Linked DNA regions of Schizosaccharomyces pombe. The protein of the gene in region 1 interacts with the protein of each later gene in a pairwise test. Each region holds a gene or a part of one and is shown on either strand. Other genes may lie near its edges.

Evidence for each region.
Region 2: the proteins of nup155 (region 1) and ima1 interact in a two-hybrid assay, tested with the Schizosaccharomyces pombe proteins (one large-scale study listed by BioGRID).
Region 3: the proteins of nup155 (region 1) and tvp15 interact in a two-hybrid assay, tested with the Schizosaccharomyces pombe proteins (one large-scale study listed by BioGRID).
Region 4: the proteins of nup155 (region 1) and mge1 interact in a two-hybrid assay, tested with the Schizosaccharomyces pombe proteins (one large-scale study listed by BioGRID).

What each region holds. Positions count from the first base shown.
Region 1 is NC_003424.3:5,009,988-5,016,583, reverse strand, and holds nup155 (nucleoporin, WD repeat Nup155), read right to left. Parts: upstream 4,897-6,596; 5' UTR 4,853-4,896; coding exon 4,720-4,852; exon of another isoform or gene 4,669-4,719; coding exon 4,564-4,668; exon of another isoform or gene 4,508-4,563; coding exon 798-4,507; 3' UTR 565-797; coding exon of another isoform or gene 558-564; 3' UTR 518-557; downstream 1-517. Other genes in the region: protein arginine N-methyltransferase Rmt1, read left to right, coding at 1-322, 369-508, 558-564; pxr1 (PINX1 family ribosome biogenesis protein), read right to left, coding at 5,923-6,596.
Region 2 is NC_003421.2:1,887,591-1,892,546, reverse strand, and holds ima1 (inner nuclear membrane protein Ima1), read left to right. Parts: upstream 1-1,682; 5' UTR 1,683-2,074; coding exon 2,075-3,922; 3' UTR 3,923-4,444; downstream 4,445-4,956. Other genes in the region: SPOM_SPCC737.04 (uncharacterized protein), read right to left, coding at 1-450; qcr7 (ubiquinol-cytochrome-c reductase complex subunit 6), read left to right, coding at 4,592-4,956. UniProt on the Schizosaccharomyces pombe protein: Inner nuclear membrane protein that specifically binds to heterochromatic regions and promotes the tethering of centromeric DNA to the SUN-KASH complex.
Region 3 is NC_003424.3:1,314,312-1,317,150, forward strand, and holds tvp15 (COPI-coated vesicle-associated protein), read left to right. Parts: upstream 1-1,713; 5' UTR 1,714-1,787; coding exon 1,788-2,186; 3' UTR 2,187-2,332; downstream 2,333-2,839. Other genes in the region: fsv1 (SNARE Stx8), read right to left, coding at 1-153; tnr3 (thiamine diphosphokinase Tnr3/ Nudix hydrolase fusion protein), read right to left, coding at 2,782-2,839. UniProt on the Schizosaccharomyces pombe protein: Golgi membrane protein involved in vesicular trafficking.
Region 4 is NC_003423.3:4,020,655-4,024,297, forward strand, and holds mge1 (GrpE domain-containing chaperone mge1), read left to right. Parts: upstream 1-1,862; 5' UTR 1,863-1,892; coding exon 1,893-2,564; 3' UTR 2,565-3,118; downstream 3,119-3,643. Other genes in the region: Fe-sulfur protein Isa2, read left to right, coding at 1-100, 170-341; vma7 (V-type ATPase V1 subunit F), read right to left, coding at 548-774, 833-968. UniProt on the Schizosaccharomyces pombe protein: Essential component of the PAM complex, a complex required for the translocation of transit peptide-containing proteins from the inner membrane into the mitochondrial matrix in an ATP-dependent manner.

The DNA.
Region 1 (6,596 bases):
TTACGGTTTTGATTTTTCTCCCATAAAAAAGGATGTCTGGAAAGAACCTTTGGTTGATACGGTTGATCGCATAGCCGTCAATACCAATAGTTGTGTAATTCTTGATTTAGATTTAAAAACTGTGAAAAAAGAAGACCTCGCATTTTCCTCTCCCTTTGAAATAACCGCTACTCGCAACGATTTCGTTCATGCTTTCCTTGCGTGGTTTGACATCGAATTTTCCGCTTGTCATAAACCTATTAAGTTTAGTACCGGCCCATTCTCCCGTTACACTCATTGGAAACAAACTGTTTTCTATACTCATAAGGATCTCACTGTAAAGGTACATTTTTTCTCTTTTACAAGATTTACTAACACCACTTCTATAGGCCGGTGAATACATTAGAGGTACAATTACTTGCAAACCTGCAGAAGGAAACCACCGCGAACTTGATATTGATATTTCATACACTTTCAATCCACGTGAGCCAAATCGCGAGCCTGTTTCAGAAGACCTTTCTTATAGAATGTAAGCTATTCATAGTCATTTATCACACTTAAATTACTAACTTTGGCAGGTGTTAAATTTTACAAAAAAAAAAGGATTTAGGTTTTTTAGTTTCTAATCACACATTTATCATTGCAAGTGCTGTAAAAGAGTATTTTCTAAATTGTTTTTTTATATGTAACAGTCATAGCGATAGTTAACAACATCCAATTATGTGAAGGTTTCAAATCCATCCAATATAATCATTGCATTTATTAAATACCAAACACCATCTTTTTAAAAAATGTTGTTATAAAAAGCTATCTTTTCACTAGTATGTCTGACGAATTTCAGAATCTAAAGATATTAAATTTTCTTTGCAACTTTTCGTGGCAGTATCGGGTGCACCTAGCGCATTTTTGTATTTCTCTATTGCTTCCAAAACAAGAGGAGCATCAAAACTGGGTTTGGAGGTTTGAGCAACTCCGGCTCTTACACTCACTTCATGCCATAATTTTAATAGATGGGTAACTTCTTTTATTAGGAAAAAAAGCCTATCTTTTCCTTGCCAAGGCTTTTCTCTGCGATCGTAGAGCTGGTTTAGTACAATAAATATTAATTCATGAGAAACGCCGGCTCCCAAGAATGTATCAATAACCCAACCAGTAGCTACCGCTTCACCTTGTTGATCAAACGCATATCTTTCAGTAATGTCAATTATTTGCTCAATAGGGAAAACGTTTTCAGATTGTGAAAATCTCAGCGTCAAATTTTTTAATGTAGAGGAAACTGCTTCGACAGGGGATGACCCAACTGGTGATATTATAGCATTCTCATGAGTAGTTTTAATAATAGACTCCCAACAGTTTAAGATTTCGTTAATTCCTCTGTAATCAGCACACTGAAATATGGACAAGCATATCTCACCGTAACCCAGAGGATCAGCATAATTATTAAATAAATCGCTAAGGGGTATAATTTCCCCATCCAATTGTTTGCTCAATTCTTCTCTTTTTGAAGTAGGAATACGCATATCACCACGGATTGCTATTAAAACATCATCTTGGATACTAGCAACGTCTAGCTGCTCTAGTACACTAAGCATAACCTTATTCATTTTATGCCTAAGAGAATTAGGGACGTGGCAGCTACCAAAACCTTTGGCTCGTGTAAGATATTCAATGCGTTGTTCAAGGCTAAATGCAAGGTGGGTAGTAGCCAAATCATACAAGACTATTGAAGCTTGATAATACTGTTCTCGTTTAGCATAATACTGCCATAGTAAGTCAGCAATTTTCATGTCTTTGGTGCTGTTACGTTCCAGATAACTCTGTATGTAAGGGGAATCTATCTCAATCAAGCGATCTGTAAGCCCCTTAAATGAATACCAATCATAAAAGCAATAATGAAAAAGTTCATCCTTTGAACGCTGTATAGTATCGTATACATCAACCTTAATTGCACTCGAATCATTTGACATTTGAGATTCCAAAGAATCCAAAATCTCAAAAATGTACGAATAACACTTTGTACGGCTCTCGAAAGGTTCACGCCTAGGATCGTTCTCAGGCATTCCATCGACAAGGTAAGACAAAGCTTGATTTCGATCGTCTCTCGCACTTGCTACGTGTAATGCTAAGTTTACCGCGGTTGTATAGGCGTTCAAAGACTTGTATTCCTCAACTGCTAAACGAAGGTCTTCGGGAGTAAAGACATGTGCAGCCTTTTTAAAGAGGGTGTAGGATAACTCTATAAGAGATTGTCGCTCTTCAATGTCGACCGTATCCTTAGCCTTTTTTAAAGACTCCACGGCTTTAAAAATTAAAACATCATCAGCGCTGCAAAAACTTCCACACTTTTTACGTAAAAGCTGACTAACCATATCAATATTCCCTCCAGACTGCAGATGCCTATTGACAAGAGAATTTACGAGTTCCTTAGTTACTTCTCGACCCCGTTTCGAAGTAAAAAACTCACCAAAGGTCATGTTTGAACACGATTTTTGAATATCAATGGAGGTAGAAGAAACAATTTCATGAAAATCGGATACACCGGTATCGTTTAAGAATAACAAAAACGATATCCCCTCAACAATTTGTTGGAGGACCAAGAGCAATGCAGACAAAGCTCTATGTTCAGCTTGTACAGCAATTTCATCAGCAACATTGGATGAGCCGATGAGGGTATTTGGGCTATTAAGGCCTTCAATAAAACTTTTGTTATTTTCAAGGAACGTAGATAAATATAACAAGCCAGATTGTATTTTTAAAATTTCAGTAGCGTTAAATGCGGGCGCGTAATGGATACGTTTATTTTGCATTTTTTTAGCTATAATGACATGATTTTTCCAAACATTTCTAATAATACGCGAAATGGAGGACGCCAAACCATCATGACAACCAGACAAACGAACGAATTCTAAAGAAGAAGAATCATACTGGTTGTTATAGCGAGATTGATCAATAAAAGCTTTACCGCCAAACTCAATATAATATTTCTTTACTATGTCCAAAAGATCCGCTTGTGCAAGTTTAGTAGTGGAGCCAGAGAAGTTTGCTGCAGCATGACTAAAATCCCCCTGATCAAGACATCCACTTACAATACCCAAACAAGTTGCACAACCTTCAGCGCGACCAACACTCTCAAAAAACAGTTGAACTTGGCCATCGATTCCGGACGATAGGGAAGGTCCCATACGAATAGCAGAAGCGAGGACATCGATCGGACGACGATGAACTACCACGTAAACCCCTGTATTCGTAAGTATGGCAAAAGTAGGAGGAGGTGTGTTAAATTGAGAAACCAACTCATTGCGTTCTCGAGAATTTTGAATGCATTTAATATCTTGTACAAAACCCTTAATAGGAACGTACATGGAAGACTCTATGAGAGACGGTTGCGTACCACTCTGCCAAGCATTGGCAATTCTACCAACTTCAGGAGCAGTACAACAGACGACGTCGCCCTCATTCGTATTGGAGGAGCTTATGGCGAAAAACAAATCGGATGTATAAATATTACTCAGAGAAGAACATTTCATAGGAGTAGTTTTTACAGCACTTGACCTTTCAGGTTGTTGTTGAGATGTAGATTGATTTTGCAGGAAGAAAGGGTTAGCAGGATAATTGCGGGAAGAGGCATAATTCTCCACTTGCATAGGAGGAGGAAAACGAACGAAAGTAAGTTGTAAAGTACTAGGAGGTGTGGACGACAAAGTCGAATTAGACGGTGCATAGTGAGAAATGGGGCCCCGGCCACCTCTCATGTAAAACCGACATCCTGTAGAGGTAATTGCGACACAGTATATTTGCTGTGATTCATATGCTGGAATAGGAACTATGGAAACTATTTGAGTAGTCCGAGGATCCAATAAGGGAGAGGTTGCATTTAGCATTTGAGCTTGAGAGATCATAGAGCTGAAAGAATAAAAGACACAACGATTTACGCCGTTTTTCGTAAGTTCATAACAAGAAACAGAAGAGGTCTCTCGCAAAACATAAAGCAAGCTACGGGAGTCATCAACAGCAATCTGCTTGATGCCATCACCATGAGTACCAAAAGAAAAGAAAGAAGGAATAAAATTATCAAAAACAGAACCGGTAATATTAATTTTGCTGCATCTACGAGAAAACCAGCCTTCTTCGAGTTGGTAAGAAAATTCATACAAATTGGGATCTTTGTTTCCGGAAAAAAAAATACGTCCATCCTCCGAAGAAACGATACAATTAACATTAATCCCTTGAACAGATATTTGGATACCAGTTGAGAAGAAGGATAATTCACCAGTTTTCTCATCGATTGTAACACCTAATAAGAGCATTTCTTGTGAAGTTGCTATTACGAGTAAATGCTGGATTTCCGAGACGAAAACATTGGCCTTTGGTCTCACTAACTTTACATTGACAATGGTATGAGATAAATCTTCGTAAGCTTGAAAGTTTTGACCCGAAAGATAATCCCATAAGAACAAACGGTTGTCCACAGTTATCCAAGCACGTTGGATTTCAGCAAAAAGCCCCATTTGAGTAAAACATTCCGTACCTAAACCGATGATAAGTTAGAAAAGTTACCAAGGCGCATAAAGTTCGTTTACTTACGATTGTATTGTTCAAATATACGGTCAGGAATATTTACAACAGAACGAAGGTAAAACGGCTTCCAACCACTCAGAACTTGTGATATGTATTCTGGAGCGTGTACTTCTAAAAAAAAATAATTAGCCTTCAGAATTGATCAAACCTGCTTCAACATACGACCAATAATGTCTCCTAACTCTGGCAATTTTAAATCACGCTCCGTTGCAGCTTCAATCGCAGCATAGCCACGTGATAGAAGTTCATAAATACCATTTTCAGTCGATGAAAATGATGGATCATTGATGTCCATTTTCCCAAGCTCCAAATGAAGGACAGCTGGAAATGTTGGCTGCTGGTGCGTTTCGACCAGGCAAGGTATTCGTTGGTACAAACACGTATGCCAGAAGTTAGTTGCTTGAAGTTTTCATCTAGCAAGTTTTAGAAACATAAAACAATAGGAAAAATACTAAAAGACACATTTAAAAATACGATGTTCCCACTTCACTCAGTTATTCTTTTTGAGTAGCACTATAAATTCTCTGAAGCGCCGTAGCAGTTTGATATTAACCATATACTTCAACAATGAGTTTATAAGAACAACGCAATAATATTGCGGTTGAAATTGTAATTGTTAATCATGTGTAAGTGCAATACATAATTTAAGAAAAAAGACAGTTGCGAAGATGATTTCTTGATAGGGACAACAGATTTAATTATGTTGAAAAAAAATCGGGAAAAGATAGTAGATATATATTGCTGAGCATTACTGTGATTTTTCTGTATTCACATACTATTCTATTTTTACTGAACTATACTAACTTTCTCTAGCAGGAGATCTACTTTTAAATTGGTGGTTGTACTAGCTCGAGTAGTTTTCTTTTTAGACTTCCTTTTGTATGGAAACGTGCAATTTAATGCATGTGAATATAACCAGAGTTTTAGTGATGGAGGAATAGCCTTCCGATCTCCATAGCTTAATAGAAATGTTATTTTTAACTAATTCTTTGTATGGCATATGAGATACTTCGATTGGTATGTGTGTAAATGATTATCGTAACTTTAATGAATGTTTAGTAATGTAAAACTTTCAGGATGAAGTCGTCAATATTTTTACCTAAAATCCCGTATTACACAAACCAGAGTCATAAAATACGAACGCGATTACTCTCAATAGCTGATTACAATACGACATAAGTAGCTTTTCGAAATTACAAGCCCGAATCCAGCAATTTCTTCCAAAATCAACTAAATATTACCTTCTATTAAGACATAGATTAAAAAACCGACAAACCCTTCCTCTTAAAGTATTGTATACCCATAACTTCTAAGACTCGTTTATTATATTCCGCAAGTTAGAAAAATAGCAAAAGAAGTCACTTCCTAACCTTTAATACCTAAAATCTCCCTTAAAGCAACTGGGTCGCTTACTGCTGCTCGCTTTTGTGCCAAAAATTTTCTTCTGGTATGGAAATGAATGCTAGCGGGTCGGTTGCCTTCTTTGACCTTCTCGACAGAGGAAGTGGACTCTGGTTTATCCTTTAATTTTATTTTCTTTTTCTTTTTCTCTTCTTTGTCGCTTGAGCCTGATTTTCTCTTTTTTGAAGAACTTTCCTTATCCTTTTTCTTGTGCTCTTTTTTCTTCTTCTTCGTTATTTTTTCCAACTTTTTAGGATCAAGAGCCGAACCAGTAGAGGTCTTTTTCTTACTTTTCTTCTTAGAAGAGTGCTTCTTTCTTTTTTCACGCTTAGCTTCATCGGATGAAGACGCATCTTCACATACACGATCCTCATCCTCCTCTGCTTTTTGCATCCATTCAGAAAATTCACTAGTAAACGTCCCACCCAAAACAAATCGTCTGGATAGCTCAAGTGATTTTAAACCCTTCTCATTCGCACTCTGTCTCTCGTATGTTAGTTGCTGCACCTTTGCTTTCTCAGCATAGACACCATACGCAGACTCATCGCCGTTAAGTCGACCAAAAATAGCGTTGAATTCACCTAAACCGCTCCATTCAAGATCGTTAGTTGCTTTGGCTCCAATTCCCAGTGTATCAT
Region 2 (4,956 bases), on another chromosome or scaffold:
TCGTTTCTGCACCAAAGGCATATCTACTTTGAACTCGTACACCTGTTCCTGCATCGGTGAATATTCAGAAGACACTTGCTCAACACTTTTGAGATATAGTTTATCCTGTCGACGCATAACAATATCCACTAACCCCCCTAAAAACGGATTCTTTATGAGACCTTTATTTCTCCCAGACACTACTACGATACCCAAGCTTTTACCTGTTAAATTCTCGATGGATAGATTACGATCCAACTTGGATAACCAATCCTGACTCGTAACATTAATATTCACATCGCCCGTAGCCTTAGCAGGACTGTTGTACTCGGCTTTGCGAGATTGATAGCCCGGATCCGATTTAAAAAACTGCTGGATTTTCCTTGTAGTCTTTCTCAAGAAAGAGTTTTCCTGACCTTCATCATCAACTTCTCTCAAAATATCCAAACCCGATTGATTAGATATCGACATATTGTCGAATGTCGGTAAAATACTTTGAAACTTTTAAAACTTCGAGAATCGTAGAAAAGAAGAAAAAGGATACCAATATCCAGAATCTCAAAACCACAGTGCGTCCAACTTAAAAATAAAAGGTAATGAAATGAAGTAAAAAAAAAAAATTATTAAAATTTGGTTCTTTCCAAAGGGCTTTGTTTCCTGTTAAATACTAAATATGAAATCGTTTATCTTAGCTTAGCCATTTTGCCATCTTCATCATGCTTTTCCTAACAACGCTCCCCAAGCCACGTAAAACATCAACTTTCGCAACTCGTCCTATTTCAAGTTTACGAAGACATCCAATTTCCTAATCGTCTCTACCCTATAATATTTTGTATAATCATGGTCTAAGCCATTTCATCGTAGCGATGAGCCTCTCGTAAGTTAATTAATGGCGCAGCATATCAATTTTAATCAACTTGTAATAGAATAGAGATGATCATGCTGTCTATTGCTTATAGTTACAAGACTAGATTTCCTTTCTCAACATGCAATAAGGATTGAAAAGTAAAAATGAACTACTTGTATGAAATTTTCGTTTTCGTGCTTAATTCATGATTATGACCTTTTGGAGTCAGTGACATACACCGTTTCCATTGACAGACATTATTGAATTTTTTTTTTACAATGGGGCAACAGTCAATGTTGGCGCAAGCTTAAGATGCAAATGCAATCTTTCATTTAAAAGCGGCTTGTTTCATCAATACATTTGACATTTAACGATGGCTTGTAGGCATTGTTGTAGACATCCACTCAGCCTACATTTTGTCAATACTTTTCTACACAACTTCTCAAACTCGTTCCTTTGTAGCTTAAAAATTAAGCGAACTTAAAAACTATTAAACTTTTTGTTAAACGAATTATTTGCATAAAATACCAAAAAGATTTTTTGTTGACTTTCACCTAACAAATTAAGAGCGGTTGGTTTTATTAAAAAGAAAATTTATTAAGATATTTCTCATTGCATTCCACTTCAATGCGTCGTAGAGCATATCATAAGTAAGGCTCTAAAAATAAGCCACAAACACTGATCGTTCTTCTGGTACAATGGTTCAAATTTTTTTTTTCTAGGAAGCTCGAAAAAGAAAATACAAACAAAAAAAAATTAAACAGCTCATTTCTTCAAAAACTCCTTTTATCCTCAATTTGTTTGAACTTTGTTCTGACAACCCGCTACGAATTGGCTTGGGACCCTGCTGACGGTCGGCCTTTTCCCTATTCTCACCACGAGCACCGTGGGGAAACTGTATAGTCGAAATCTTCGAGTTTTCTTGCTCAACATTTCAAGAAAACTTTTATACTATTCAAGTGTATCTAATTGTTACTTCACTCGTTATTTAGTACTTCTCTTTTACTTTGTCAAGCAGCACAAGTGTTTGATAAAGGTCATTCTGTATAAGGGGTCCTCTGTACCATTACACCTTGTACCTTGATATAAAAGATATTTACATGCATTTTATTTCCGTTAACTCACAGAATATCAGTTGTTTGGTTTTCTTCTTACGTGTGCTGGTTTGACTTGTTGTTTCCCTTTTTTTTTTTAAATTTGCACACACAGGATTCTATGAGAACTTTGCATTAAATGGTATAATGGGAAATGGAATCTAGCCGATTGTTTACACTTGGATTGGGAAATTCCGATGATGGATTGAAATCCACTTTTGGTGATAAAACAGTAACTTGTTTTTATTGCAACAAGAAGAAGGAAAAAATTAGAGACGGAACGTCTACTTGGACTTGCTCAATTTGTGAAGCCACCAACCATATTGATGAGAAAGGTGATATCCTGGATTATCGACCTCCAACCCCAACTCAAGACAAGGGTGTTGGTCCTTTTTACGCGATACGGGATTTCCCAAGCAGTTCTTCCTTTCAGAGCCCCTTTTGTGAAAAATGTCAAATGAACCAACTGATTGTGAATCGGATGCTTGCTGATTATCTGCCAGACTCATCACATCCAGATTATCAGGCTTATGAGAAGGCATTACCAGAGTATAAAAAATCTATAGAAGAGAAATTTCCCATTGTTTGCTCTGAATGCTATGACTCCGTTCAAGACCAACTTGATGCCAATGATTATGAAGCCAAAAATCAGGTTTTAGGATATTGGCTGCAAAAGTCAAAGGAACAGCTAAACGCAAAAGTCCCCCATCACTATCCAAAAGCTTCTTTTGTTCTTTGGTTACTTCGTGGATTTGGTTTTTCGTTTTTCTATTTGCAATCGATTGTGTGGCATTTGTATCATTCTATGATAATAAGCTTATTACCAGATGGTATTCGTAATTTATTTCTAAAAGCAATCTCTTACTTCCTATTAGATGGATCCTCTAGCAAAATTTTTTACTTTAATTGGCTTGGTTTTTTCGTTGTCTTTTGGAACCCGTATTGGTACAAAATGATGGACAATCCATCTTGGGAGCTTTTTGGGCGGGATCAGTATATCCAATGTCAGGCACTTTATCTTATTATCCGTTTAACTTGCTTGTATCTCCTTTCATGTTATGAGTCGGAAATTTTGAACTTAAGCTCGGATACCAATCTTGAAAGTGATTTTTTACTCCGTCAAATACATGCAGCCTTTTTCTTTGTTACCATTTGTTTTACATGGATTAGCATCTCATGTTTAAAGCCAAGTCCTCCTCCAGAAGTTCATTTGACTGGCGAAATTTTGAAACCACGCAAGAAGCGTCAGGAAAGTACATCTTCTGTGCATCGGATAGGAAAGGAATCGAGTGACAGAAAAGATGGAATTAGTGGGCAGAATAAATTGCAGCAATTTGCGACAATTTCAATTCTGAATAATACCAACGCAACGTCTCATTTGGGAAATCAGTCTGTTCGTGAGAGAGCTCCGGAGGAATCCCCTATGACTTTTCTTCAAAAAAAAATGGCCGCCCTTCCAACATCTAGTCCTGTTCGACCGATGCTTAAACCTACTCTTCAGCTTCAAAATTCTCCTTTATCGAAACTGGTTCCTCAAGAAGTGGGCAACAAAGTAAACGATTCTATTCATACGACGTCTAATCAGCCAAGTAAATTTTCCCTGAACCCTTCCATATCTCTAAAAGGTGATAACGTGATAGAGAAGAATTTACCTTTTTCCGTGTCTACTTTAAAGTCCACTGCAAAGAAAGATACTGGTAAAGCAGGGGATGGTCAAAATCGCGAAATTCAAAATGAGCCAGTGAGCCTTGAAAGTCATTTTAGTAAGTCTTTAGCCCTTCAGAACGATCCAACAGAAGTTATTCAGGTGAAAAACGTTCTTCACCGGAATCGTCGAAATGCAAAGCTTCTCATTGCTTTCACAATTTTGTTCCTCGTTGGGTTAATTTGCGGATGGCGTTTGAATCGTTTTACTATGTTCATTTACTATTTATGCATATTGGTGTTAGCCACATATTATGTTATGAAACACAACTTTTATCCTTTAAGAAAGGTGGCTTGATCTGGTTACTATTTAAAGAAGTGGATGCAAAGTAATATGGAATATATTCTTTTGCAAACCAATCATTCATTAATTTATCCAATTTTGGAATAAATTTCGTTACTAATATTGCCAGAGGCGGTTATGTCGCTATCATTTGTTTAAAGTTTTTCAGCTCCTTTCTGGCAACTCGACATATTCGAGCTAGCGCATTCGCACAAATGGGATCCAATATAAATTTACTTTTTTTTTCCTATTAAAGCTATATAATTAAGTATTTTTCATACTAACGAGTTTTATTTGATAAATTTCATTCGTTTCAATAGGTTAGTACTGAAAGAGAACATGTAACCTGAGCAAACTTCTGGTTCATACGAATACTAGCAATGGTGCATTCCCGAATATATGTTAGACACGTCGTTAAATTAGTTTAGGTTATAAAATCGTTAGAGTTAAACAATAACTTAAGAGAAATGAGCCGAGAATACTAGGATATTCAGATTTTCATTACTTTCTAATTCCGCTCAGGATTCTATGTGCAGGTAACATCAGGTGACCGAAGGATTCATTGGCATACTATAGGGCCATGAGATCTTACCTTCTTCCAATATTCAAAACTAAGAGTTTTATTGATTTCAGTGCAAATTTTGTAGTGACGAAATTTTTTTTTGCTGAAGTGATTGTTTAAGTATGAAACCTGTGTCTCTTGCCAAGTATATTCAAAAATCACCATTTTTGACGAAATTGCTTTTACCCATCTCCAATGCCTATGTGCATTTGTCAGGATACCGTAAATATGGTCTTCGATACGACGATTTGATGTTGGAGGAGAATGACGATACTCAAAAGGCGTTATCTCGTTTGCCTAAGATGGAATCCTACGATCGAGTCTATCGTATTCGCCGTGCCATGCAACTTAGCATTGAGAATAAAATTTTGCCAAAATCTGAATGGACAAAGCCTGAGGAGGATTACCATTACCTCAGACCTGTTTTAGCTGAGGTTATCGCGGAGAGGAAAGAGCGTGAGGCCTTCGACGCTCTCATTGTTAAGAA
Region 3 (2,839 bases), 3.7 Mb from region 1:
CGATTGCTCCTCATTAAGTTTTTGCAATTCTTGCCGAACATCTTTCAATGAAGACTCAATTTCTTCATCGGGATTCTGTCCAAACTCTTCCAACTTCCTCCTGTCTCTTATTTTTTGTGAAACCGAGTCAATGATCAGAAGCAAATTTGACATAGTCGCTGGTTACTTTCTTGAGTAATCATGTTCATCATGCGCCTAAAAACACAAACATTAGTGAAGTTTACAGTAATACGGTGTAATGCCTTTGCTACCAATTCTAGGTTCAATTACAGTAAATTTTGTTTGCAGCAAAAAAAGAGAATCTTTTCGTATGTTTTAAATAAAAAAAAAAGTAAAAATGATTTGCTCATTAGCTGCCAGATCCATTATAGGCATCCTGTGAAATTATCGTATTATTAGAAACCTACTCGTTATTTACACAATTTTTTGAATGCTTCTTTTCGACTCTTCTGATTGTTTTCGGTATTTATCACAAATTTAGTAGTTCTTATTTCACATCTATTAAAAGGTAATCAAGCAAGGTGTAAGGAAAACTTTTTAATTATTGAAAGTTGGTTTGCGTAGTTTCAAAATTAATCAGATAAATTTATACAGCAAGCCCAGTATAAAAAGGGGCCTAACCAGGATTCGAACCAGGGATCACCTCTAAACTCAGCATACAAGTGGGGATTACCCGAAAGAGGTATGTTAACCACTACACTATTAGGCCTAGGTTTCTCATTACAAAATATTAATATAATATATATATAAAATAATTGCGACATAATAAATGTTAAGTACCTCTTTGCTCTGAAAACTAAAATACCAATAATGACGCTTTTCTTTTCATTAGAAGAGAATGTTTATTAAAGAAATATCTTAAAGAAAAATACTACTTAAATATTTATTTAGGAGTTAGTACACTAATTCCAGAGTATTAAATCCAAGTGTAACAAGGTAGGAGTAACAAATAGTTGTTTAATTACAGACAATTAAGTACAGTAGAAAATTACTCAAATATATACAAGGCTTTGGGCCGTTTAAAACGAATCATGCTGATATCTATATTCGGCTAATCGACTTCTTGCTTTATTCTCAGTTTAAAATGGAGTTTTTTTTTATAGCGTTACGAATTAGAAATAGATGTAGCCGTCTATCAAAGTTGACATTGCACGTGAAATTATCATTATAAACATAATCAAATGAATGGCAAAGCGATCAAAATAAGAAGGAATTTTACTACGTTATAAAACATTCGGCTTTTTATTTTACTTTATTCTTTTTTATTCAGGTGCATCTGATAATAATCGCGTGAAACTTGAGTGCAAAAAATTTTACAGCCCTGTAGATCCCGAGTGAGAGTAGATCACATATAGCTAAAGGAGCTCGTATGAAACTAAGATACAAATACATTTGTTTACGAACGTTTGACAAATATATAAATTGACCCACAGACCTTAAAATTGTCAACAACAGTTGTCTCAAAAAAAAGCCGGGTCGAAAGTACATTATTTACTAAATGATAGTGTTTTTAACTTCAAAAACAGTACAAAGAATGCTATAGAAAACAAAATGCATTTTCGATGAATTGAATTATTCATTTTCTGTAAACAACAAAAAGTTGGTTGAGAATTATGGAATTCGTTATTTTTATTTACCGTATTTCAATAGTTCGTAAATATGCATGACCGCATCGGTAAGCATAGGCAGGCTTAGTAACTTGCATTTCTCTTTGTCTTTAAGCAAACATCGACTAAAATACATATTGCTTGAAAAATTTAATATTGGTTGCATACACTTAATTCACAATGGATAAAACAAAAATGTTTAGTGCCATTAATTTGGGCGTAGGTGGTATCTTCGTTTTAAGCGGATTTATCAAGTTATTTTCATTTAGCTTCGTAAACGCTTTACTTGCATTGTTCATCATCGTTTTCGGTTTGGGAACTATTGGTTTAGAAAAGGAAATTCCTCCTATTGCTATTAAATATGGATCGTTCATGTTCTCATTCTTAGGAAGGGGCTTCTTCTACGCTTTCATGGGTACTTTACTCTTTTCTTACTCCGGGTTTACTTCTTTCCTAGGCTTTTTAGTTCTTCTTGCAGGTATCGCCTACTGTGGTGCAAACTACGTAGCAGGATTGCAAGACTACGCTCCCAGAAGCATGCGTGATAATGATTGGGATGATAACGTTGATGAAGTGTAGACTTTTTTTTATTTCTAACTATATTATTTGATTCGGTTCTTGTTCCTACCCCCCTCTTTTCCCGATGTCCTCCTACATATGATTTATTCTGGATACATTCGTTTTCTTCAGGGTAGGTGTTCTAAAAGACAGTCACTTTAGCAGTCATCCTCAGAGTAGTTAATGAGTATAAATATGTATACGATCTCTTAACTATGTATAATTTTTGTATATCAACATTAGCGTAGTAGCTATGGTATTTGTGATGGGTTTTAGGGTTATACATTCAAATACCTTTAATTGTCCAGCTTGGATTCTGAACTGTCGGGTGTATCGAGGAGGATAAAAATGACATGTCAAGCTCAACAATATGAAAAATTATGATTTTTTTCTATTTCTTCACTTTCTGAGATGTATCTTGCAGTTCAAAATGTTAGTTGGCTTTACTAAAATTCTATTTTATTTCATTACTCTAATCAATTATCTTTTTGCTTTATGACCATTACCGCTTATACTCTATAGATGTTTTATATTTTTTATATCTAAATAAATATCTTAATTTTTTTGAGCTGTTGGGAATAATGAATATTCTTTCTGAGTTTCTTACTTACAGGTCTTATAGACGTGTTTCCATTGTCCATACTATAAAATTGTTGACCTCTATAGTCACCGTT
Region 4 (3,643 bases), on another chromosome or scaffold:
CAGAAGAAAACTCTGTTTTGCGCGTCACTGTCGATGGTGGTGGATGCCATGGATATCAAGTATCTTTTCGCATGGACAACAAAATTGGAAATGCTGACACGTAAGTGATGTGGTTAAGAAGACTATAAGTTTTAATTAAGTATTTCCTGGTTATTGACTAAATATCTAGGGTATTTGTGCGTGGAAAAGCCAGGGTTGTTGCTGACAACATTTCATTACCTTTGATAAGTGGCTCTGAAATTGAGTATACAAATGAACTTATTGGTTCCTCTTTTCAACTTTTAAACAATCCACGTGCCAAGACTTCTTGTGGTTGTAATGTCAGTTTTGATGTTGAATGAGATTTATACTTAAAATAATACATTTCTCTTATAATCACTTTTCTATTTATCAAATATAGTTTAACAAAAACTCTGCTTACAATTTTTTGCTAGTATGCCAGTAAGTAAACCAAAAGATACAAATATAAAAGTGTCATCAGTCAAATCGATCGAGTTGTTGACTAATTGAAATTATTGCTCAAAAAATATAATTAAATATTAATAGTCTATTCTCCAATGATCTTTCTAACACGACGGAGGATACTGTCCTTTTCAGGATCATAAGGATCGTCTTTGCTAGGAATTTCCAATACAGCAGGGAATGCCTGCACATGGTTTTCAATACGATCACGTATTCTTTCAGCGGCAAACTGGTTAATCAATACAATCGCAATATCCTTCCTTTTCGTAGTATAATCATCAAAAGCTTCAGCAATCTGCTCATCTGTAGTCTCTACATAAAACAGCAAGTTAGCGAAAACACGATTCCATTTTTTAACAGATAATCTTACTCTGAGTAATTATAAAAAAGTTTTTGTCACCGTTTTCATTTACCTGACCAGTTCCAGCTAAAAGCATCCCAGTAACGGTATCATCGTCTCCAATTACAGAAACAAGTGTCCGTTCTCGATATGATTGTGAAGACATGATTTAGAGAGATAAGTATTTAGAAAATCTAGGTAAACGTCCAAGCAGGAAAATAGGAGAGTATGGTGCTACTTGAAAGCGCAACTTCTGGACTAGTAGGCGATTAAAAGTGTTCAGTGGTTGAATCGTAAATTTTCACAAAGCTTAGATAAATATTTAACAGAAAGCTATGGCTCTGCCTCTACAATCCTCAAATGTATTCCTGAGTTTAAGTAGTGATGGTGGATGAAAGTGTAAGGTCCAATACCGATAAGACATATCTGACACTTAACTAAGGTACCTTTTATTATGAAGACTTCTGTAATTAAGAATATGATATTATTATAATAGGAATTTGTGAAAATTCGACTCCCATAAATTGTTCAACAAATATCATTATGCAAATAAACTGATGAATGTAAAAATAATAAGATGGCCCAGATGACACAAATAGGATTATTTTAAAACTTAAATTATAATATTCAATTATTTTACTTTCAAAGGCTGCGAAGTAAGTACTTCGATATAATCCAATGCCGTAAAGCATACCAAGAAGGATATAAATATAGATGAGAAATCAGTTAATTATTATCTGTTGAGAATGAAGCTGAAAAGAATAAATTAATAATTGATAAGCATATGAGCCGTTGTTGGCTTCCAGTGTTGAGCAAATTCGAAATTTGGGTTGCTTTCCTACATGCATGTTCAAACCTACAATCAATTTGTTACATATCGAAATAGAAGCTTTAATTTGAGAAAAAAGTGTCATTTATATATTTTTTGAATCAGCTTCCATCTCAAAGTCCATACCTCATTTAACGAAACATAACGAATTTTTAAGTTGATGAAATTGATATTTGTAAAATTTAACAGTGCTAAGTTCACAACACCATTTGTCTATAGTGTGACACAGTTGTCTTTTACCACAAAGCTCTCACTGAAACAATGCTTGGGCTTGGAAGAGTATTTTCATCCGCTGTACGTCCTCGGACGCTTATTCGAGCACCCATTAATAAACGCAGTTTCCTTTGGTACTCAACTGAGGCTGCTAAGGAAGAAAAGCCTGCTGAAGAAAAAGTTGCCGAAACAGAGAATGTTGATGTTAAGGAACTTCAATCTAAGCTTTCTGAGCTTAAAAGTAAATATGAAGCAAAGGACAAAGAGGTTGCGGAGTTAAAGGGTAGCATTCGCCAAAGCTTAGCTGACTATCGTAATTTGGAAAACCGCATGAAGAGAGACATGGAGCAAACACGTGCATTTGCTGTTCAAAAGCTTACTAAGGATCTTTTGGATTCTGTCGATAATTTGGAGCGTGCTCTTTCAATTGTTCCAGAGGAGAAGCGTAACAATCGTGAGTCCAACAAGGATTTAGTTGATCTTTATGAAGGTTTAGCAATGACTGAATCGAACTTAATGAAAACCTTAGGAAAATATGGTTTAGTTCGCTATGACGGTATCGGAGAAGATTTTGATCCTAACATCCATGAAGCTGTTTTCCAAATCCCTGTTGAAGGTAAAAAGCCCAACACTGTCTTCCATTGCGAAAGCAAGGGTTTTCAATTGAATGGAAGAGTTATTCGTCCTGCCAAGGTTGGTGTTGTTAAGGGAGACGACTAGAGGAGCTAGTCAAAGATGATAGCAAGGAGCATACGAATACGTCGTTTCACCTATATTATTTTAATGACCAATTCGGGGTTTTTTTTTATTTTTAAACTCTCAATGTTTGTCTGGAAAGTCCTTTGTGGTATTATTGGATTTTTTCAGTCTTTTCAGGGGAACCAGAAGTCTTTCTGTGCAGATGCTTTTTTCTGCAAACTAATAGTCAAAGACAGATCGTAAAAAGTTTCATTGCATTTTTTGGGCTATGGGTACATTATTATATTTTTACCGAGGGGACTTGAATCCAATGTTTTTGTGTGGTTTGGGTTTATTGTTTAGTGATTTGCTATCACAACATAGTACCTATTTTTACTTACATTTATAAATAAAATTTTTACTCTTTAATACTATAGCTTTCACCCAAACTGGTTAAAGAATTTTGATATTTCCTTCTAAAGATTACTCAAAAGCATTTCTTTAAGAGTTAAAAGTGGAACCAAGTGGAAGGTATGTATTCTATCATTTAGTTTTATAGAATATTAAAGTTCCGAAAGTTGATATGTGCTTTAACGGTTAAGCCTCCTTTTCAAGTATTCGTAGAAGTTAAGCTAGTGTTCTGTATTACAAATTAGTAAGGAATTTTGACTAGTTTAGATGATTTTTTTGTTTTTTATAAAATAGATATGTAATAACAAACTTGCTAATAAAGTATTGATTGGAAGCAGCTAGCCTGTTCGAACTAAGCCATAGTATAAGACATTACTCAATCAGCCTAATCTAATAGATAGATATTCAAAGTTACAAATGATAAGCATGAGATCGTTTGTGGGTGATCCCGTTGCTTTTAACTTTATTAAGAATCTAGTCAATGAATAGTTTTTAATCCAGCACTGATATCGTCAGAATTGCATATTCGAGAGATATATTCATTTTTTCCAGCTCAGTAATTACACTATTACTAAATAAACTCACTTCTTAGCGATACACTACCGCAAGGGTTTACGTCTTTATTTAGATCAAGAAATGGTGCCTTGCATACTACTCGAACGTGGTGTAAAATTTACCCTTACACAATAAGTGTTGCTTGGCAACACGTT